4 linked regions of the Drosophila melanogaster genome follow. The protein of the gene in region 1 interacts with the protein of each later gene in a pairwise test. Each region holds a gene or a part of one and is shown in the gene's direction. Other genes may lie near its edges.

Region 1 (4,939 bases):
CGACAAGCTATTGATGCCTCTGTTCCAGCAGCCAGGAGGCCTGCCCAAGTTCCTCGATGCGGTCCGGGAGAAGCAGGTGTCCCTGGAGAACGCTGCCGTGACGGACAACATCAACCAGACGATATCCGGATCTGTGCGTGTGCGCAATCTGGACTTTCACAAGTCGGTGCACATAAGGTACTCGCTGGACGGATGGAGAAGCTACGCCGACCTGCAGGCAAACTACGTGGAGAACTCTTGCGATGGCTTCTCCGACATCTTCACCTTCGTGCTGTTCGGTAACTCGCTGCACGTGGGCCAGAGGCTGGAGTTCGCCGTAAGGTTCCAGTGCAAAGGCCAACAGTTCTGGGACAACAACTACGGGGCCAACTACTGCTTCCAGTGTTTGCCCAGCTCGACACATACCGCCGGCGGCTCCACGGCATCGCCTCCGTCTGTGGCGACTGGCGCCGTATCCACCGGCCATAGTGCCAGTCTGGTCGGATTGCTAAGCCCCACGGCGGGCGATGCCTGGTGCAGCTCCTTCTACTAACCGGTGGCGATGGGCCCGCACTAAAGGCACTAGCATCCCGTCTAGAATCCAACACCCTCTCCCATGCCCAATCCAACGACACGACACCAAGATCTGGGAAAGTTTCCGGGCCTTGACGTGGTGTCTATGTCCCAGTAAGAAATCAAATCCAAGCAGTCCCATATGACCGCCCAGTCAGAGATCACAGATCAGAATACCAACCTTCGTGGGGCTAACTCTTCATTGGGGTGATTGGATTTTTTGTTAGAAAATCCACAAGGAACTAAGTATTTTTTTGGCAATTCTTAACGTAACGTATCAACACAACTGGAACTAATTTGGAATGAAATTTTCAGTCAAAGGCAGATTAAGTTTTGATATTTTGGAACTTAAGAGCTGTTATTAACAACAAGAACTATTGTACGAAATGTCAAGAAATTACATAACTCCCACAAGAATATTTCAGTCCCTGCACGTCGATAAATCGAACCACCCTAGCCTTCCAAGGACGGCAAACATTGTTTATATATTTTTATAGAATGAATGGAAAAGATTGAAGGGTTAGTGAAGGGCAAGAGGAGCTGTAAGAGCGCCACAAAAAAACTAAAGAATCAAACCAGAGTAGTGCGAACTAGAACAAAAGCCAGCAAGGTTCGAATGAATCCCAAAGATAGTTGTTAGTCGTATGTTATAAGAAGAGCAAGTGATAACAAACTAAAACTCAGATCAGTTTCTTCAATGTCTTCTTCTGTTTTTAGTTACTTTTCCCAATTTTTATTTGGTTTGTTCCTAGGTTTGTTTGTCATGCGAAAGCGATTGCCAGTTGGATCGGGCTATTAAGATTGTGTATCTGCCAGATAATGTATCATGATGATTTAAATGAATCAGTTTTGTGAAAAGATTAATTGCCATTAATCACAGTTCTGAATATGAGCTTAGCACCATTTTAATACTTTTTGTTCGGTAAAAGCAGATCCGTTCGAGCACAGAGACCATGTCAAAAGTTAACTATAACTAACCACCATCCACTATCTAGTCAACTCGAGTTTACTTTTGCTACCTTTTGACTATTCGCAGTCAAAAAGGATATTCTCCAATCCGATGATATTTGTAGCCCGATCGGAAAAACCCCTTTTAGCCATCAGACACAGCAGACAAGCCTTAACTTTTGTTTCTCTTAATTGTTGATATTCTTCTAATGTTTGATTTTTTATATGCTTTAATTTTAATTTAAACGATTTGAATATTTTCTATGTATATGTTGATGCGTAATATATCTATCGTAATATTATATAAATATATATACAAAATAAAATAAACATAAACTTTAGTTATTCCTTTTCGGTTGATTCTTTCAATTATCTATGTATTGTCTGAATAATAATGAATACAATTTGAGCTCTTCTTATCCACAACAGAACCTTAAATAGCCTATATCAGGGATATAAACAAGCGAATAGCTACTTATAACAATTAATTGCAAACGCAGCTACCTCAACGTTTTCCGACCGAAAACACGAATAAGAGAGAATAATAGTTAAACAAAGTAAATTTATAATTAAAGAAACTATTTAATATGTTTATTGCATAGCAAACATGTGTAAAACAAAAGCAAAACAACAAATAAAACGAACTTTAAAAGTTACAACTATTTACATACATATGTTAACAAAAACAGAAACTTCTCGAACATAACTAATGTCCACAAATCCAAATGACTTAGACTGAAGCGTGAGTATGCAAAAAGTGTTATGAGATCTGCCCAAAAACCAGAAATTTGTTGAGGTTTATGTGGGCGGGGCTCTTGTCATCATGAGTTCCACTTTACACTTACAAAAGAATAATAAAGAAGCCACAGTTAAATAAAATTGCGAACAGACATTCTTAGCATGTCTCGAAAGTGTTTTCTTTTGTGCTTCACAGGGACGGACAGGTGGTATCTCAGGTGTTAGCAAATTACACATTAGTTATTCAAAATGGTTAATGTTTCCGTTTAAATGTAAAAATCATCATCTCGGTCACCACCAGTCATTGCTCTGGTTCCATATGAAATTTGTGTAAAAGTTTATGTTATTTTTACGCGCAGAAATGATATACATATACCTGTTAATTGATCTATCCTAGAATACGAGAATTCACTTTTCATGGCTCGATCACAAAGTCCGACATCCATTTGGTGTGAAAGTTCTTTCATCAGCCCAAAAACTCAACTCATTCATTGAATATTATGCAAATCAGATACTTTATAAATAAATGGCTTGGTTTATTAAACAAGAGAAATTAGCATACGATACAAATATAATGCGATCGTAAGACAAGACATATAGATCTCAAATGAGCTATCTTAACGGGAGTTTGAATGATTCTCCTCTGTTGCCATTTTTCAAACGCATTTATCCACATAAAAGAAGTGACTGCGATCTGATTTTCGTTAGTTCACAGCATGTCGTCGAATCTGGAAGTTCTCTCTGCGAACTGGACTATTCTGCTGGTGGCACTACTGTCTGTTCTTGGGGGAGTTTTCGCCAAGGATGATGCCTCAGTGCCCCGGCTGATCACCCTCCAAACTGGAAGTCCCGCTCCAGCCCCGCCACAGGAAGTGATCATAGAGGAGGATCACGATCATCAACATTATCATCCGCCACACTATCCGCCAAGCTATTCGTATCCGTATCCTCAGCCACAGCCATGCGGTTGTCCGCCCGGTCCTCCAGGTCCACCTGGTCCACCGGGACAGCCGGGGCAGAAGGGCTATCCCGGCCCCAAAGGATCCAAGGGTGATCCCGGCGAGAAGGGGCCGCGTGGAGATAAGGGCCACCCCGGGATGCCTGGAATCCCTGGCCAACCTGGTCCTCAGGGTCCTCCTGGATATCCCGGAGGTTCATATCCACCGTATCCGTATCCTCCACCTCCTCCTCCTCCATCACATGGACATGGAGGCCCTAAAGGCCACCAGAGGCACTACTATAACTACTATGATGAGGACGAGTATGATTACGGCAATGAGCGTTCTTTTGGTCTGAGAAAAACCGAAGAATTCGACGACCAGCCCTTCATTTTGGCCTTTAGTGAACGCAGAAATCCGTTTAGCACAAAAAACAATAAAAGACGAAATTAAAATAACATTATTTAAAACGAAATAGCTTTGATAATTATTTCTGTAGGTAAAAAGCAGATACCCAATACTTAAAAGGAACTTTCAAAATTCTTTTGAAGAATGTCCTTTTTGACTTTTGAGTGGCTTCGTTTATAAATGACACCAAAAATCATACAAAGTGTGGGTTTATCGATTACCTATAAAAATATACCACGCACTCAGCGTTTAAATCGAAACCTCTTTACAAACTGTATATTATTAGACATTTGTTAAGTCGTTTAAAATCTCACATTACATTAGGCAGAAAAGCTGGCTTAAACTATTAGCAAACATCGTCGTCTAGGGCGGTGTGGTCGTCGCCCTCCTCCTCCGCTTCCTCATCCAATCCCGCTTGCGTGGCACCAATCTCCGCGAAATCATCCTCCATGGTATCCACAAAGCTCGACACCCTATCATCGCAGAACAAACAGACATTAGAAACAAATAACAAAGACATTCGTTGGCTGGCATCACTTTTCAAAGTCGCACTGCGGCAGGAGACCCTCCTCCTTCGAGGCGCTGAATCGGAGCAGCGTGCACAGTCTGAGGAGTCCGAGGAGTATCAGGAACATCCCGGCCACATAACTCAGCCACAGATTGTGGGGATACAGGATCAGGCAGATGCCGATGACCGCATAAACAGGAGTGGGTCGCCAACCGCCACAAATCGCTGAAAGTCGCCAGCAGGCCAAGCAGCTGCAGGACCTTCGCTGGTAATTATCCCTGAAACAAATTGAATTCACAAATATGTGAACAGAGAAAAATTTGCAGAGAAAAATCTGAGCAAAGGCACTTGATATAGAGTATTGTATATAATAGTAAAGTATATCATATTATAGTATAATTAGGGTTTAATTAGTTTTACAACTACTAGGCTTGGTAACTAGAATTTCTATATTTCATAAATAATAACTGCTAATTATCAAATAATATATATACGAATAACTATAATTTATGAACATGTTATTTGGTAATCTTGAATAGTTTTCTTACTCTGCGCACTGAAGTTGCAGGAAGATAGTCACAAGCCACTTGATCTCGATAAACATTACCAGCACGGCTGAAAAACTAACCAGAAATTAGTATAGTTATGGGGGATATTTAGATCCGTGACTTACACTATATAAAGACCGGCCCGATAGCCATGCATGTAGACATCAACGCCAACGCCGCAGATAACTGAAATGAAAAATGGCTAAAGAAAGGTTCGGTGCGGGGGGTCCTTTTTGGCGGGTTGAAACGAGGAGTGTTATCCTTGAACGAGCCTATAAAATAATGTGAGTGTGTCTAGG
Region 2 (5,681 bases), on another chromosome or scaffold:
TGGGCCTTGGGTTGATAAGTGGGCGCAGGGCGCCATTGTCAGCGGAGTATATTCACTGGGGAGGTGAACAATGCACAAAGGCCAGCAGGCGCTGCCATCTGCGGATTACGAATATGAACGGAAACGGAAACTAATTAAATATGTAGAGCAATTGTTGCTGCATCTCGCTTTATCCTACCGATTCACTTTTTCACTTTTGTTTGTCCCGCATCACTGCAGCCAGTGTTTCGGTTTCTCCTTCGGCTCGGCTTGGGCTGGGGCTTGGACCGACCACCTTCCTTTCCGCCTTGCCAGTCTCGAATTGGATTTGGTTTTTGGCCAGGGCCAGGAAGCAGTCGAGAGCAAGCGCCCCAACTGCGAGGGGCGTAATTGCCCTACCCCCTAAGCCTCCGCTCCGAGTCCAAATCCCAATCCCATTTCAATTTCCATTCCCATTCCCGTCACCATTGAACTTGCTCAAAGGTCTGCGCAGCTGCAACTGCAACAGAGGCAGCAATGCCAGTTGCAACTGCAACAATGGCTGCACTTTAAACAACAAACTTTGAAAGTTAAACCAGGAAATCCGAAGCAAAGCATGCAGTACATAAGGAGTATCAAGAGAGCACCATAATATAGCAGAAAATCGAATTGACTTTTTCAAGACTTTCCCCACAATTCTAAAACTGTTGCCCACAATCTCGTGAATCACTTGTAGCACACCTTTTTCTCTCTGTGTGTGGATGCAACTGGTTTTTTGGGAAAACCACGACATTGCACGTCGCTAGTTGCTTTTAGTTTCTGTATCGGTGTGCAATTTCCTTTTTGTTTTTGGGCGCTTTGAGAATGACTTTGCTTCCGCGTGAAGATGCGACGGCAGGTCTGGAGTTTCGAGTCGCGAGCCCGGGTCGATTATGCAATATGGGGAAGATGTGCGTCTTCGTTGCATCTGATGTTAATGTGCGACCGCCAACCGGTTGCCCATCGTCATTGCCGTCATCGCCGGGGCAGCAGAAGCAGCTTCATCATCGTGAGCGTGGCCCTCTCTAGCTGAAGATGTAATCCCCATTGAAAGATGCTCTGATGGCACTGGAGTGCAGCCCATTTGCTCCAGCTCAGCGGCTTCCAGTTCGAACTTCATTCGGCACAGCATCGTGATTATGACCGGCGATGTGGCTTTATTGGCAACAGATTATTGCGTCGGTGTCCCGCTTGCTGCTCCCAGCTAGTTCCTTATGTAAGCCCGCTTTGTTTACAATCCGAAACAGTTTAAATGTATATTAATTATTCGGCAGTGATGGAATCTGCCGAGCGAGCAGTCAGCTGCCTAGCTCCGTAGCTGCCAGATGAGAAATGATAATCAGCGACGTAATCGAAATGGCCGGATGGCCCCGATTCGCTGGCTCGGCCCAAGTCACTCACTGCTAATGAAAACAGTGGCTAATCAACGGCGAAAGCATGGCGGCGGGGGTTGTTGGGGCGTCCAGATTGGTGGGTGGGTGAGTTGGAGGTGTTGGGTGGCCAGTGGCCATGACCTCTCTCCGCTGCCAGTCGGACATCTTGCTGATGTAAGCGCGAACAAAACCCACGGCGCGTTGCCTTTTGCCCATGTTGCAGCGCGGGGGCATGACAAGATATTTTTGATGTTGCTGCAGGCGAGGCTTAACCCAATAGCGCTCGAGAGCCTCTCGCCAAACGGCGACCTGACCTGGCCCAATCCAAAGAACAGTAACTGGCTCCTTCCCTGCCTCACAGCCGCGGCACCACTGCTTCGCGTTGGTAAACAAAATTATATTGATAATTTCCGGCACTGGTACGGCCATCAATGGGTTAATGACTAGCGACAGTGAGCAGCCAGCGGGCAGCAGCCAACCCGGCCAACCCTTGGCCAATCGTTATGCAAGTCTGGACCAACAATAAGGAATTGCCAATAGGAAGTTCGTCGTATCTACATAAAAATCCATAAACATGAACGTCAACAAAATACCTAACGGTTAACAACCAGCATCGGCGATGTGATAAAGTAGCAATAGCAACGAGCTCTGGGCCAAAACTGGAACTGGTCAAGTTGCATATTACCACAGTTTGAGTTTCGGTTTTAGCTATTTTCGGCCGCCAGCCCACGAAGCTTAGGGCCACTCAGATTTTCTCTCGAAAGAAAGTAGAGCACAGAAGCGAATGCTCCTCGAGAGAGTGTGTTAGTGCACTGGGAGAATCCGTGTATTACAATTACAAAATAAAAGTCTTAGATTTAGAAAAACATTTTTATGCAGTATCCAAGCTGCTTTCGTAAAATATGATTTTCTTACGTAAATATAGCAAAAGGAATTTAAGATATCTTTTAGCGATCTTAAATTGGTCTACGAAACCGGTTTTGTTTATCATGTAAAATATTGAAAATGGAAAACCAAAGATGATTGATACACTTAAGTTGGCATCACACCATGGGATTTAAAATAATTTTGAGTCACAGACCCTTTTTTACGTTATCCGTGTGGTATTGCAATTGGGCACATGCTGGGGATGATGATGTGAAAGGTCAACACTCTCGCGATCTTCAGAAAGGGAGAGTGAAGACTGGATGGCCGAGAAGAAGACGAAGACGAAGACGCGGCCAGTTGGCCTTCAATGGGTCGCGGTCGTGAAGTCTCCAGTGGTCTGGCTCCACTTCATTCAGCTCGTCGTCGGCGAAAGAGATTATCTCTGCACTTGCTCAGCGGCAAGCGATCGCTTATATAACCGCATGGCTCCCGAGTGGAGAAGAGGGCTATAAAACGGCGTGTGCCCATGTTTGCCGAATCATTTCCAGTCGGTCCAGAGGCGAGCAATCATTCGAGAGTCCTTCGTAACGAATCCAGAGAAATGGCAGCCCGTTTCATAGTGAGTTTGGCACGACACCACGTCAGTTCAGGTGGATCCTAACACAGATTCCCTCCTCCCACTCCCAGATCAGTGCGCTTCTGCTGGCTAGCCCAGCGGTATGGGGAAAGCCCACCTTCGGACGAGAGCATGTCCACATCCGTATTCACCTGCCAGAGAGCGGTGGGGATCACGGCGGCCACGGAGGCGGTGATTTTGGCGGCCACGGAGGCGGTGATTTTGGCGGCCATGGAGGTGGAGGCTATGAGATTCACTCCCACGATGGCGGATACAGCGGCGGTGGAGGAGGCGGTGGTCATGTGAACACCTATGCTGTTATCACCGAGAACCACGGATACAGTTCCGGGGGTGGCGGAGGCGGTGGAGGTGGCCACGGATACAGCTCCGGCGGATATAGTTCCGGTCATGATGATGCCAAGATTGCTGCCATCGCTGCTGCTGCTGGCTCGTCCTCCGATCACGGACATGGCGGACATGGAGGCAGCGGCGGACACGGCGGAGGTTATGGTGGCCATGCCATCGCCAACATTGCAGCCATCGCCGCCAGCTCAGACTCCTCTGATCATGGTGGCAGCGGAGGATACGGCGGCTACAGCGGTGGCGGTCACAGCGGAGGAGGTCATGACACCCAGGTGATTGTGGCTGCTGCTGCGGCTGGAGATTCACATGGCTCTTCCGGCGGATACGGCGGCGGATCCTCCGGTGGATACAGTGGTGGCTCCTCCGGGGGCTACGATGGTGGATATTCTGGTGGATCCTCTTACAGCGGAGCCTCCTCCTACAGCAGCGGCTCGTCCTACAGCTCTGGAGGATACAGCAGTGGACATGGCGGTGGCTATAGCAGTGGCGGCGGATCCAGCTATGATACACAAGTGGTGGCTGCAGCCGCTGCTTCAGGCAGCGGTGGCTCCTACGGCGGGTCTTCCGGCGGCGGTGGCGACGGATACAGCTACTCAGCGCCGGCCTCAGGCGGCTGGGCAGGATCCAGTTCAAACTGGAAGTAGACGGCAATGTCCGTCGTTGGCCATCTGGTCGTCTAGTCTACTGTTCACGTTTAACTTATATTTGACATGTTCGCTCATCCATATTCCACACATTCTCCCAAGATACTGGTGTACAAAATAAACCATGTTAGTGTAATAATTTAAGCCAGCCGCCCAGTATGTGATTTACCTAATGCTTGCCCAGTTTTTGCCGATTTTTCTCCGCCTCTTTCATCGGAGCTATATAGTGGCGCTTAAACATGTCATAGATGGAGAAGTACACGGCACTCATCAGTCCTGCCTTGAGTAGAGTAGGCAACATTCCCTTATAGAAGCCTCCGATTCCTTCCTCCCGAAACGTGGTGGTGATGCAGCCCAGGATCGTAGGGCACTCGGGGTTGCGACCAAAGGTCTTACGTTCCTGTTTGAAGGCCATCAGCTGGATGCGCTTTTTAAGCAGGTCCGCCGGGTACACGATCATCTTGGCCAACACCCCTGACAGCGCCCCATTGAGAAACAGAAATGCGCCGTGGATTTCCTGGCGCTGGTCGGGAGGCTTGGCCATCAAGACAGCCGCGTTGAGGTACTTGTAGAAGAGAAAGTTTGCCCCTACCAGCGGAAACACCTGCACAAGCGTGAAGGGTAGTCCTCGGGAAAGTCCCATCCACCCCTCCATCTTATAGACCTTTCGAAGTCCGGTAAAAGTGTTCATCTGACTGCGGCGCGAGGAGGGGTCTGCGGCCACCATCTGTGTTCTTACCACGTCGAACGGCTGGGCGGCCACGGCTCCCAGACATCCGGCTATGCCGCCGCAGATGAAAAACATGAGAAAGGGTCGCTCCCTCCAGTAGTCAAACTGGTGGGCCATGGAGCGAAGCTGTTCGTAGGACCAGAACTGTACCAGAGCGTACGAAATGCTCAGAACCTGGCCGGAGTTGTGACCACGGAACATACCGCGCATTCCCTCCTCGGCGTACACCGACTTGAAAGCGTGGATGACTCCACGGTATTTGGACCCCTTATGGTTTGTCACCGGCTCCACTTGCATCTGGAATCGGATCTTCAGAACGTCCAGCGGCTGGGTTATGGTCCGCGTCGCAGCTCCGGCGATTCCGCCGCCGACGGCCTGCATTAACTGGACTACCACCGAGTTTTCGGGCATCGGATGTGGCGACGAGCAGTGGACGGATTCACTCACGGCAGGAGTTATTCACTGTACAGATGAGGACGAAGTGGTGTGTTGTCATTCCGCAAGCTAAATTTCCTGCTACTGTATAAGAAAGTGGCTAGGCTTTTATTAAGCTCTGGCCAATTACACAGTATTTTCCAATTTAATATTTAGTCGAAATTTTAAAATACACAATAATTTCTCTGACAAGAATGTAAAAGCTTAAAATTTTTAAGGTGTCTACGTACTTTAGTTGGGGTCTGCATGTGAATGTACATACATTTCTATGCTTGTGTTGGTTGTCGCATTATTAATCCCTTCGATCTCTTTCAGCTGTCGCCAAGCACCAGGTTGTCGCGTACACGCAGAGGTCGCAGGTTAAGCACGAGAACCGGCACATCCAGCTGGTGCGGGAGTACGGCTTCCACCCGCGCACTAAGGCCTCCGTGGAGGACGGCGACGTGCTGCCCCGCAAATTCGAGCCCTTTCCGGAGCACATGTACGGAAAGCCGCTGGAGGAGATTGACACCTTCATTTACGAGGAGGTGAGTACTGCCGCGTTCAACATTCCCTCATTATCCGCGGCCTCGCCTCACTTGGCCGCCCATTGGCTCTAATTAAAAAGTCACAGGCAGGCGACCAGACCCCAGATCCGTGTTCTCATGGTAGGGCAA
Region 3 (6,050 bases), about 13 Mb from region 1:
CCTTCTCCGGCGTTTGTGTGATATGCGACTGCTTGCGTTTGCCGCCGGGAATCAGCTCTTTAATGCCCAGACCACGTGCCTCCTTCTCCTTGGGCAGTTTGTTTTGGAATTTGCCGACTGAGGCTGTGGAGGATTTGGCCACAGTGACGGCCGTTAACAACTGGCTGGATGAGGCAGCCTCGGGTCCCAAGTAACCGCTGCGTGGCATGTCGATCTTCTTGGCGCGCACAATGTTCTTCATCCGCTGGATCTCATTCTTGGCCACCTTCTCGTTGCGCAGGTCGATCTTCTTCTGGAACATGTCCGTATTGGGATCGGCGTTCTGTGGCACCTCCAGCACCCAATCCTTGGCCTTCTCGGCCTCGGCACGCTTAAAACCATATGTAGGCACCCATTTCTATAAAGATTCAAGGTTTAGATTGTGACTTGACAAGATTAAAGAGCAAAAACTTGCATCCATGGTCTCATCGTAGGTCTTCTTGTCCTTCTTCTTCTTGCTGATACCCTTCTCCTTGGCGAACTTCTCCCATTTGGTGAGCGGACGTGGACCTGGCGGCTTACGGAGGCGGGGCAGTACCGTCGTGGGTTCCGGCAGCTTGGCCACAATGCTCTCGTCTACCCGTTCGGTGGGCAACTCCCAAATGGCATTGACCAAAAGTTGGGTGTTCTCCCGTGTCAGTGCGGTCAGGTACTCCTCTTTGTTGTCCCTAAAAACAATGGAACTGGTGAAAAATCAGTATTCCTCGCTAGAAACCGCCGCTTACCTCAATTCCCGGTCATCGAAATCGTTGGGATCTGTGATCAGCAGGCTGCCAACGTCGAGTCGGCATTCCAAATGCTTTTCTACTGTGATCGGCTTGTATTTGTCCAATTCCTTTTGGTGTTTGGCCAGAACTTCTTTAACAACATCCATTTTCAGGGAATTAGCGTATAAACAGCAAAATTCAATTCCACGTGCTGACAACTGTGACCATGCACTAGATTTAACGAATAGGCTAAAAAATACTAAATAAATGTACCAAACTCGCACCGAAGACTCAAACCTTGCAGGGAAACTTGGCTATATACTTATCAGTCTATCGGCGCCATTTCAAAATAAGTTTTTAAATTAATTTTTTAAAGATCCTCGTTTATTTTACGATCTCTACAACGTAACGTCCAGCGCTTTTCCGCCTCGTCCAACGTTTGTGGCATCGTAGCTCCCTTGGTCTCCGGCAGAAACAAGATTATTAAAGCGCCTATCACGGACACCAATGTGATAATAAACATGGGCAAGGGACGATAGTAGCGGTGGGTGCTGAGTACAAGTGGTGAGAGTAGGGCACCCATCTGACCCATAATATTGATAATAGCCAGTCCCTGACCGCGCAGCACGGTTGGCAGTATCTCAGAGGCCCACTGTTGACCCACATTGTAGGCCATTGTGGCGAAAAATCTGGCTGCAATCGCTGCCGTTGATGCATTCCAATGTCCTTTTAGAATACCAACGAAGAGACTGGATGCTGCACACAATAGCATGACAGCCGACATCATGGGCTTGCGACCAATTCGATCTAGCAAAAGCATTGGTACGATTCCAGCAGGAATTTCAACGAGCGAGGAAAGGGAAAAGGTTATAAATATATCTGTGTCCAGGATTTCGACTACGCGAACATGGGCATCGTATGCTAGGGCCACAGTCATCCATGTGACAATCAAAATCGTTAAGACGACGAGCCTGGGAAATGTCTTAAAGAGATCCAGACTGGTGTACTGCTTTCCCAATTGCTCGTTGGCAAATTTAAGTTCATAGCATTCCCGCATCTCGGACCAAACCTCTTCGGAAATGATTTTTCCATTGGCTTTGGCCGCTTCTTTCATGACTTCAATACACCGGTCCACTTTACCCACCGACATAAGCCAACTGCAGTGGGAAATGAAGTTTAGATAGCTTGAAAACCTATTGTTATCATTAATTTACCTTGGTGACTCTGGAGCCAGCAAGCTGGTCAATATCATGAATACAATTGGCAGGGCAACGACCATGGCATAGTGCCTCCAATTACTGATGACATAGGCCAGCCAGGGAAGCAAGCAGGCGCCCAAGGTGAAGAAGAATGTGAGGGCTAAGTTCCCCACCAGTGTGCGATACTTGATGCCAACGTTCTCCAAAGCTGTTGAAAAGAATGTGATGATGATATTTAAATTTATGATTTATGTTAATTGACTCTGCAACACTCACTTAGAATATAAATGGGAACGAAGCAGTAGTTCATTGACAGTCCAGCCACAAATCGGCTGGCAGCAAAGCAGGGAAAGTCCTTGCAGACCACACTTACGCAACCGCCGATCATGGAACAGGAGTTGGCCAGAAATAGTGCAGGCAAGCGACCGGAATGATCGGTTATGAATCCAAAGCAGAGGCAACCAACAATACAGCCCACAAAGTAGACAACGACGCTATATGTCCCGAAATCCCTTTTGTCGCACACCCAATTGTACTCGGTAGCGATGGACTCGTAGGGCACCTCCTTGCGATCATAGATCCAACCATTGTTGCAAGGTATCGGGCTCCTTGTCTGATTCGCATCGTTGGTCGCATTTGAGTCGTAGGGCACATTGTACATAAAACAATTCTCGAAACTGCCATCTTGCTTTTTGGGGATTCCCCGATTCTTTTGTTCACTTTCCGGCAGTCCCTCTAGTTCTCGTACTCTGCACCAGTGATTCTTTGGCAACAGTATCATAAATATCTGACCAAAGTAGGTGAATGCGAACAGAAAGGCGGCGGGCATCATCCAAAACAGCAGTCGCTTCTGAAAGGGGCCAAAGTCCCCAATGAACAGCAAGAAGTTCTCATACTTTTCACAATCTCTGGGGGGCATTTCGACATTTAATATTATAAATATGTACTAAACAAAAGCCAACTTCTTTAAAGCCCTCTTTTTGAACCTTAAATAGTTAAATATATGTTATTTTGAATAAACCATTCAAATATCAACTTTTTGAACTCCACTTTTTTCCGCCAATTTTCGATTACTTTCTAGGCCTTCTATTTTAGCTTCATGTTCGGCTGGTCACACAAATGCACATAGATATCGATAATTGACAACATCCATATCTAATTTGCGCGCGAAAAAACTTTTAATAACAATGGATGTGGATTTACTGCCGCTGAGAAAGCGAATAACAAACACCTTCAAGCTATGTGGATTCCTGATCCGCTCGGAGAACAGTTCCTACCTGGCGGAGCAGCTGCTACCCTTTGACGCAGCGGAACGGGACAAATGGCTGACGGTGATCACCGAGAATCTCCAAAGCCAAAAGCTTTTGACGCCTCATGTGGAGCGAGCCGCCCTGGAGAAGGCCATCAATGAACTTAACCGGGTGGGATTGGATGAAGGGGAGACGGTCTTTGCCCTGATCGATGCCTTTACGGTGCCCCGTTTTCGGTACAACCAGCGGATAAAGAAATTCGAACTGGACACTCAGCCGCGCCAGTTGCTGACCGCCCCGCGCATGAAATCGGACTACATGCAGCAACGATATGCCATGTTACTACAGAAAACTCTGCGACACGATCTCTTTGCCCCAGCCGTCATACAGGATGGCGTTGGGGCCGAGGCCCAGGCCAAGAAATTTAAGCTCCAGTTCGCGGAGAACCTGCTGGCCACGTCGGCGATGAAGGAGGCAGTTGTTTTGGGGCTACTTACCCAGCTTAAAGAGGGCAAGTTCTATGTCGAGGATCCCACGGGTTGCGTCCAGTTAGATCTCACTGGAGCCCGTTTCCATGCCGGCTTCTTCTGCGAGGGCTGCTTTGTTTTAGCCGAGGGCAACTATAACAACGGTGTGCTCAAGGGTAAGTAGCCCAAAGTATTTAATAACTACATCTCAAGAGTTTCTTATGTTTCCCCAGTTGATGGCCTGGGCTTTCCACCTGCGGAACCGGCAAACAGCAGTCGAGCATTTTTCGGCACCGCCAACACTTGGGGCGGTGAATCTGCTAAGCTGCTGAAGTACTCAGCCGGACTACAGGAACTGGAGCGTACCAACACGGAAACAACCATTGTTTTCCTTTCCGACGTTCGGTTGGATCTGCCGGTTGTCATGGAGAAGCTGCGCCAGTTGTTCGTGGGCTATGATTCCTGTCCGCCGCAGGCTATAGTGCTCATGGGTCCCTTCACGGCCAGCACAAGGAATCATCATGAACTGAGGCATCACCTGGATGCATTGGGTGGCTTGGCAGCTGGCTGCGAGCAGCTGAAGAAGCAAACGGATCTGATACTCGTTCCCTCGTCCGAAGATCCCACGGCACCTAATATTCTGCCCCGTGCTCCAATTCCCGAATGCCTGGCAGCCGGGCTGCTAAAGGCCTGGCCACGCACCCAGTTGGCTACGAATCCGTGTCGCCTGCAGTACTGCACCCAGCAGATTGTGGTCTGCCGTCTGGATTTGATGGCCAAGTTTTGTCGCAACACCTTGCATTTTCCTGAAGACACGTCCCAGATCGAGCAGCATTTTGCCAGAACGATTGTGTGCCAGGGTCATTTGGTGCCCATTCATCCGATTGCCATGCCAGTGCACTGGGACTACGATCCTGCTCTGTGGTTGTATCCACTGCCGGATCTGATTGTCATGGGCGATTCGTGTCAGAGCTTTAGCAGCAGTCAACATGGCTGCACTGTTCTCAATACCGGCTCCTTTGTCAAGTCCAAGTTCGCATTCAAAGTGTATATACCAGCGACGCGAACGATTGAGGACTCGGAGATACCGGACGAATTGGAGTAGTTATGATATAGTTAACCTTAACGTAAGTTTGAATAATTATTTAATTACATATGTCGATTACTCTTTGGATTTCGGGCTATTTGGGCAATTTTTTTTTTGTTTTAAACAACTGCAAGCCTATATTTAGAAAGAATACCATCAATTTAACAATTTGGATATAAACTTCTTTCGGGAGCTTAGCTCACTGCGACCTCACATGTTGCTTGGCCCGCCAGCTCGAAACATTTTTCGGCACCCAGTGCGTGTGGCTGTTCCCTCGTGATAAGCGGCCCAGTCTCATCATCACCGTCGTCAGTCATCATATGCGCACAGCATGTGTTCCACAATCGTCTCCTGGCTGTGCGGCTGACGCGCCTCGCAATCTGCTTTTTACGGCGACCGGGGGTTGTCTATTACTTTTCATGACTTAAAGCCGATTTGGAAAAATATTGTTACTCTGCCCGATGCCGGCCACTTAGGGTCGTGGAAATTCAATTTCCCAGGCTGGCGCGCAACTCCTCGGCAGCTGAAACGGCAATTTTGATAATGCGTTTGACCTGAGGACATCGATGGCCCCCATTTGCTGTCACATGACCAGTTGCCGAATCGTTTTTTTAAGACATCATTAGCCGGGTAGGATGTGGAAGTGGGGAGGTTTTTTTTTCCTCCTGCCGAACGGCTCGAAGCGTTTTGCTCTCCTATTGATTTATGATTTATGAGTGCAACTTGGCTAGTTGTATGCCGCACGTCCCTGGGATCAATTTCCAAAATGTGTCCACCATGAGTGTCAATTCGATTTGGTGGGCGTGGTCAGCCTTGGGTGCTAACTATATTTTCATTTTATCCCTTCGAGTGTTGAACATTTATATTCCTCTGTATACATGGTTTCTCTCCAGCTCCTCAATGCAGAAAGGCAGATTCAAAATGCTTGCTGTGCGACAGCAATCTTGCTTCTGCTTCATTTAACTGGTAACATTGGCAACTTTTGAAATTTAAATATTGTTTTGCGGTTGCTCTGCAACTTGGCCGCAATAACATAAAAAAGAAAACATTTTATCTGTTATGGTCATCGGTTTTTATGGCATTCTCCCCGCAAAGTTGACACCATTTAATTTGGAGCTCAGCTTGATCCCCGCCCACCAGACTTTGGGACTCGATTAAAGCAATCGCTGATGCGGAATCCGTGAATCTGTGTCTTGGCCATCAATCACTCGACCAGCTGCGCCCCAAGTGGGCCTGGTCCAATCAAGGATCAAAGCAACTGGCCATCATATCCCACCTTAGGTTATCCTTTTGCACACACA
Region 4 (5,830 bases), on another chromosome or scaffold:
CAACTTGTAGCTAAAGCCAATGGGGAACATACTACATACCAAAACTTTTAAAATTTTAATAAAATAATTTAAAAATTTAGGATTAAACATCGATTTAGTGTTTTGTGTAAAGAGTTTCTTGACAGTCTCAAAAGTGTTTAAACTTGGAATTTGTTGTTTTTTTTCTTGTATATTTAATATTTTTAATTTGTTTTTTGATTTATAAGTAAAATAAATATTGTTTAATTATATTTTATAAAAAAAATGCGTTTAATTAAGCAAAAAACCTTTAATTTTTAGCTTTAAAGTCAAAAATTCAACTTATTTCACAGTGTGTAAACAGTTTCTTGACAAACTGTATATTTCGTTTGTAGGACCATTGGTAAATATTTGTATCTAGTTAGAACGGACGTAAAAGTCGTAAGGCAACATTCTCAAAGTTATGTATAATCTATAAACACACGTTTTTAATCAAAGGCCATATTGGTCAAAAGCTGATAGCACATATTCGCAAAACAAGGAAAGTTCACTACAAATCAAGTTTTGAATTAATTACGGATTCTTTTGGTCAGTACATCACCCGAACATGGAGTACAATCGCCAGCCGTGTCCCATCAGGATTGTAGAGGATTGCGGGTGCGCCTTTATGATGGGCACCATGGGAGGATCGTTGTTTCAGTACCTCAAGGGATTCCGAAACGCTCCGTCCGGTCTTCGACGTGGCTTGCACGGCGGTATAGAATCGGTGAGGTTGCGGACACCGGCCATAGCCGGCAGCTTTGCCATTTGGGGCGCCACCTTCAGCACGGTGGACTGCGTCATGGTCTCGTACCGCCAGAGGGAGGATTCCTGGAACGCGATTGTCAGCGGAGCGGCCACTGGCGGAATTTTAGCCGCCCGGAATGGAATTCGAGCCATGGCCAACAGTGCCTTTGTGGGCTGCCTCGTTTTAGCCATGCTCGAAGGAGCTGGAGCAGCAGTGGCTACGATTTATGCATCGGATGGAGGAGTCAAAGCAGAGGAGTCCCTAATCACTGTTGACCAGCAAATGCAGAGACCCCAGTGGGAGACATCCGTTGCTGATTCGAACCTAACTGGGGCGGAGTTAGAGCGGGTGTTGGATGAATGTCGGGCATACAGGGCACACAACAAGATGCAGCAGCCTATGCGTTCGGACGCAGTGGAGGGTAAGGAACTGGGGCAACTGATGAAGCCAATGCACTCGTTGGTCGATCTGGTAAAGCTGGCCGAAATTGTCTGATAGAAAAGCTTTTAAGGTTTTAAGTCAACCTCCCATGCTTCTTCCAAATTAAGTGTTAATTCGATATTCAGCGTTAATCTTATATTATTTTTAAAAGCCCAGTAGGTACAAGGAATGATTTTCTATCTCATGGAGAATATTTTTCCATCTTCAATAAAAGATCAGCTGATATTTGATTGCATCTAATAAAATACTATGGCACTATGCAGGCTCAAAAGAGCTTCTAAGAAAAATATATCTCTTCTAGCGTGCCACCATGAGCAGTATTATAGTATTATACATTTTTAACTTATGTTTTAGCATAAAACTGTTGAAACTGAAACATCTGACCTGTCCACTGACGACCTACCTTCCTGATCCCATGAAGCTGGCATCCGCCAGACCGATTTGATAGCTGGAGCTCTTTTCGCCATTATGGTGATGATGCTGGTGCTGCTGCTGCCTTTGACCTGTTTCCGTTTCCGCAGCTGCAGCCTTCTCCTGGCTGCCCGGCTGCCCGAGGAGATTCAGCAGGTTGTCTACCTCGGCGGGCCAACTCTGCGCCTGGTGGGCAGGCGTCATCATCTGGGCGGTGGAGCAGTTGGCGCCGGCGCCGCTGCATTCCAGATTGGCAGATGCCACAGCTTGTTGCAGTTGCTGGATCTGCTGCCGCTGCTGCTGCTTATTGTTGTTGCTGCTGTTGAGCTTTTGGCGGGTCAGGAGGCGGCACTCGGTGCGGTGGTCGGGCCAATGGAGATGCTGGTGGGCGGGGGAGCAGTAGTAGACGGCCTTGCACTTGGCGCAGCGCAGTAGTTGCTGCTGAGTGCCGCAGATGGAGCAGCGCGGCGGGTCCATGGCCGATTTGGATGCGGAGTGGGAGCCGGAATGGCTTGCTGAATCCCTGACCTTTCCGCGACCCCTGCTCATTGCATTTTGCGGGAGAGGAGAGCCAAAGGCGACGACCGATTTTAACCTTGACAGCTCTCCCAGCTTTTTTTACCCCACCTCACCTACGCCAACTGAGGCAATCACACACACACACGCTCGCAGATTATGGCTATTTGTTATCAATGCGAATTACGGCACTCGGGCGTTTTAGCCAACATTTCACTTAAGACTGTTTGTGCTTATTTTAATCACGTAGGCCACCGAATTTGCCAAATAAACAAAAAAAAACGCACATACAACGCACACACACAGACGCACGGGCAGCTATATGTGCATTGTTGTTGGTTTTTCCTGCGAGTATTCTCTTTTGTAAGACGTTTTAGGGTTGCAACTTTTAACCCTATTGACTGTTTTATACCCTGCCTTGAGCTCTATTACGCCCCTTGTTTATAAAAACCGCGTAAACTGTGCAAAAAAAGGGAAAAATTCTTAACTCAGCACTAAAATTTCTTTTTGATAGCGATGGGCGTCGACCGATACTTAGCGTGCAGCGATTGACATGTACTCGTTGTACAGCACTATTACCGGCGGGCAGTAGGTATCGATAGCTGAACGAGCCAACGTTAGTGGTGATTATTTTATACTGGCACTTATATACTAACGGTAATCAAAGCTTTTTATTTCGCTATTTTTATTTACTAGCTTTAATATTTAATTGCACAAGATTCGGAAACAAAAAGCTATTGGGAAAATTAACTCAAAGCGGCCATTAACCCCATAAGAATTACTTTAATACAACTTCAGTCGATCGTTTATCAATTAAGCAAGGTCTCTAAGAATGGCAAATACCCTTATCGTCTATTCCAATACATTTATATATATATATTTTAAAGTCGATAGTCGATAGCGCGATGTGCCATCTCCATTATCAAAACTAAACAGATGCTGGGCGGAAAATCAACTGGTTCCTCGTGATAACTTAATCCCACTAATAAGCGCAATGTCGTCCAGTGAACGAGTGGCCAAAGTGGTGCTGGTGGACATCGAGGGCACCACCACTTCGATTAGCTTTGTGCACGATGTCCTGTTTCCCTACGCCAAGCAGAATGTGGAAAAGTTCCTGAGGGATTCGTGGGAAGAAGATGATATAAAGCGTATTGTCCAGGATCTACAGCAAGTGCCCCAGTATGCGGACTACAAGGCCCTGTTAAGTGGTCCACCTACGGAAGTGGATGTAGATCTGATTGCAGGCTTTGTGCGCTATTTAATTGATCAGGATCTGAAGGTCACGCCAATGAAAACGCTGCAGGGCTTGATTTGGGCGCAGGGCTACGCTAATGGAGAGCTGAAGGGCCAGTAAGTTCCCCATTCAATATTCTCCTATCATGGCCATATAAGTTTTACAATCTGAACTCTAGAAGGTTATCAAAGAAAAGGCTTACTTAACGTCTGTTCCCAAAAATAATTTGGGTGTCTTTCTGAGATCCAATTATACAGCTTGGTGATTTTTTAAATATGTATGCTAGCTATATTCTCCGCACGGGAATGTTTAACTTTTGCTGATTTCAATAGTTATCAGATAACATTCAACATAGTAACCAAAAGTACAACGCAACAACTCATTATTATTGATAATTAATTAATTATCTATAAATGTTATTATAGTGTATACGAAGACGTCCCTGCAGCTTTTGAGGCTTGGCGTGCTGCTGGCCTCCAGATTGCAGTCTACTCCAGCGGCAGTGTGGCTGCCCAAAAGCTGATATTCGGTCATAGTTTGGCCGGGAACCTGCAGCCGTACTTGAGTGCTTATTTCGACACCCATGTGGGCCACAAACAGGAACAGCAGTCCTATAAAAACATTGCCAAGCAATTGAAGGAGGACCCGAAGCAGATACTCTTTCTCACGGATATTCCAGGAGGTGAGTGGCTGATCCACACGAATCCTCATCCGTAACATTTTTAATGTGAAATTATATTTTAGAAGCGGCCGCCGCTCGCTGTGCGGGCTTGCAAGCCATAATTCTGAAGCGTCCTGGAAACGCCGCCCTAGCAGACGATCAAAAAACTGGATTCGAGTTGATTCCGGACTTTAAACCACTTCACAACCTGAAAGTTCCGGTCAATAAATCCCAGGCTTAGGTCATTCCAAAAAAGTATACATATATTGTGACTATGTGCTTGGGAATTAGGTGAATCTCTAGAGGAAAGCTCGATCTGCGCTGCACAGGTCGTCACCGCTGTCGTGGCTGGGCGTCTCGGTCGTGAGCCCCTGCGGCCGTCGTTCGGACCGCTTGCTTCGTTGAGACTGCCTCGAACAGGACTTTTCTGAGCCATAGACCTTACGCAGTTGCTGCAGCTTAGTATCCGCATCGGGAACAGGAAACTCTGACTTTTTCTTCCTACGTTGCCGGCTCCCCTCGCACGAATGACGCAGTTCCTCGGTCCGGCAGGTGTGGGTGAGCTTGCCCACTTCTGGACCCCAGAACGTGGGTCCTTCCAGAAGAAGGGGAGCGGATTTGACCCGTTGACGCATCATCTCCATATGCAGTTCGTACTGACGCTCCTGAAAAGCCTGCTCTGCCTTGCGAGTGGCCAACCGAATGGATAGCAGTGCCTTGTGGGATTCGCTAAAGAAAGAACACTGAATGTGTGCGAAACTTAATATTTGGTGAACTACTCACTTCAAGGACAGTGATTTCCAAGCCGGCGTTTTCCTCACCTCCCAATCGAATTGCGGACGAGGATCATGATAAGTGCAGTTGTTCTTCAGCTCCTTAACCTTCTTCCTAGATACTTCAGCCCTCAAAGTTGCCGCTAGATTAGGACGAGATACCGGATGCAACGGGGACACACTGGGCGTTCTCCTCTGGACCGGTTCCTCCGGCAACTCATAGATGCTCAGCGGTGGTAGTGGCTTCTCATCCTTTACGCTAGACCCTGGCTTTGGTTTCCTTACTCTTCCGCGTCTTCCTCGACCTCTTGCTGCGCTGGAAGCACTACTACTTCGCTTCGACGAGGTGGTGGGTGATTGAATCTGTATCTTGGGAATTTCCTCCTGCTTGCTGAGTGGGAAATAGTTGCTTCGCGCAGGCTGAGCTAGTTTGGAAGGCTTCGAATGAGCCTCTAAGGCAATCCCTTGAAGATCATTGACACTAAAGCACCTGCGCAGCATTTCCCTTCGGCACTTGGCCCGTTCTGCCGTGTGCTGGCCAGGATTGGCAGTCTTCTGGCAGCGGTTCTGCGTCTGACTTTGCTTGTTGGTTTGTGTTTGAGTTCCGTTGCTGCTCGTGGACTTTGGCCTGCGGAACTCCGCTTCGAAGCTCTTAAGGGACCTCTTGAAATCCGCAACCTCCACTGCAAAGTCCTCCTTAAAACTTTTCAGACGACTCAAGTCCCTGAGGCACTGGTCGTACTCGTCGCTTAGACAACTGGAATTGGGAGTATGGACAACTGGGCGGGTAGCGCATCTATCCTGTTGGCCGGGGATCACTAAGATTGCTGGCGGAGGAACAGGATCCAGCACCAAAGGACGTTTCTTTATCTTTTTCCCCTTGGAAGGCCGCTTTTTAGACTTTCCATGACCCACAGAACAGCTGCTGACACTGGCACTTCGCTCCACAGTTGGAGCAGTTGCTGCCTGAGATCGCAGTTCACGGCTGGTGCTTCGCAGGCTCTCCAGAGTTGAGTAGAACTCAACTCGGTGCAGGTGCTTCACATCAC

Evidence for each region.
Region 2: the proteins of CG14089 (region 1) and CG9083 interact in a two-hybrid assay, tested with the Drosophila melanogaster proteins (one large-scale study listed by BioGRID).
Region 3: the proteins of CG14089 (region 1) and PolE2 interact in a two-hybrid assay, tested with the Drosophila melanogaster proteins (one large-scale study listed by BioGRID).
Region 4: the proteins of CG14089 (region 1) and Enoph interact in a two-hybrid assay, tested with the Drosophila melanogaster proteins (one large-scale study listed by BioGRID).

The regions. Positions count from the first base shown.
Region 1 is NT_037436.4:19,278,816-19,283,754, reverse strand, and holds CG14089 (uncharacterized protein), read left to right. Parts: upstream 1-2,954; coding exon 2,955-3,629; 3' UTR 3,630-3,635; downstream 3,636-4,939. Other genes in the region: Gbs-76A (glycogen binding subunit 76A), read left to right, coding at 1-532; CG14086 (uncharacterized protein), read right to left, coding at 3,931-4,057, 4,122-4,370, 4,641-4,715, 4,766-4,826.
Region 2 is NT_033778.4:24,895,504-24,901,184, forward strand, and holds CG9083 (uncharacterized protein), read left to right. Parts: upstream 1-2,769; 5' UTR 2,770-2,838; coding exon 2,839-2,856; exon of another isoform or gene 2,857-2,924; coding exon 2,925-3,860; 3' UTR 3,861-4,002; downstream 4,003-5,681. Other genes in the region: NaCP60E (Na channel protein 60E), read left to right, coding at 5,341-5,552; Tpc2 (thiamine pyrophosphate carrier protein 2), read right to left, coding at 4,030-5,001.
Region 3 is NT_037436.4:5,894,462-5,900,511, reverse strand, and holds PolE2 (DNA polymerase epsilon subunit 2), read left to right. Parts: upstream 1-3,076; 5' UTR 3,077-3,132; coding exon 3,133-3,838; intron 3,839-3,895; coding exon 3,896-4,767; 3' UTR 4,768-4,821; downstream 4,822-6,050. Other genes in the region: CG32409 (uncharacterized protein), read right to left, coding at 1-397, 455-707, 765-913; CG5592 (uncharacterized protein), read right to left, coding at 1,117-1,903, 1,961-2,153, 2,222-2,864. UniProt on the Drosophila melanogaster protein: Accessory component of the DNA polymerase epsilon complex. Participates in DNA repair and in chromosomal DNA replication. Has a role in the entrance and progression through S phase. Has a role in endoreplication. Essential for viability and tissue development.
Region 4 is NT_033777.3:5,253,881-5,259,710, reverse strand, and holds Enoph (Enolase-phosphatase), read left to right. Parts: upstream 1-3,029; 5' UTR 3,030-3,107; coding exon 3,108-3,463; intron 3,464-3,772; coding exon 3,773-4,029; intron 4,030-4,091; coding exon 4,092-4,249; 3' UTR 4,250-4,267; downstream 4,268-5,830. Other genes in the region: Tim17a2, read left to right, coding at 566-1,240; Hph (HIF prolyl hydroxylase), read right to left, coding at 1,590-2,146; CG1113 (uncharacterized protein), read right to left, coding at 4,308-4,737, 4,792-5,830. UniProt on the Drosophila melanogaster protein: Bifunctional enzyme that catalyzes the enolization of 2,3-diketo-5-methylthiopentyl-1-phosphate (DK-MTP-1-P) into the intermediate 2-hydroxy-3-keto-5-methylthiopentenyl-1-phosphate (HK-MTPenyl-1-P), which is then dephosphorylated to form the acireductone 1,2-dihydroxy-3-keto-5-methylthiopentene (DHK-MTPene).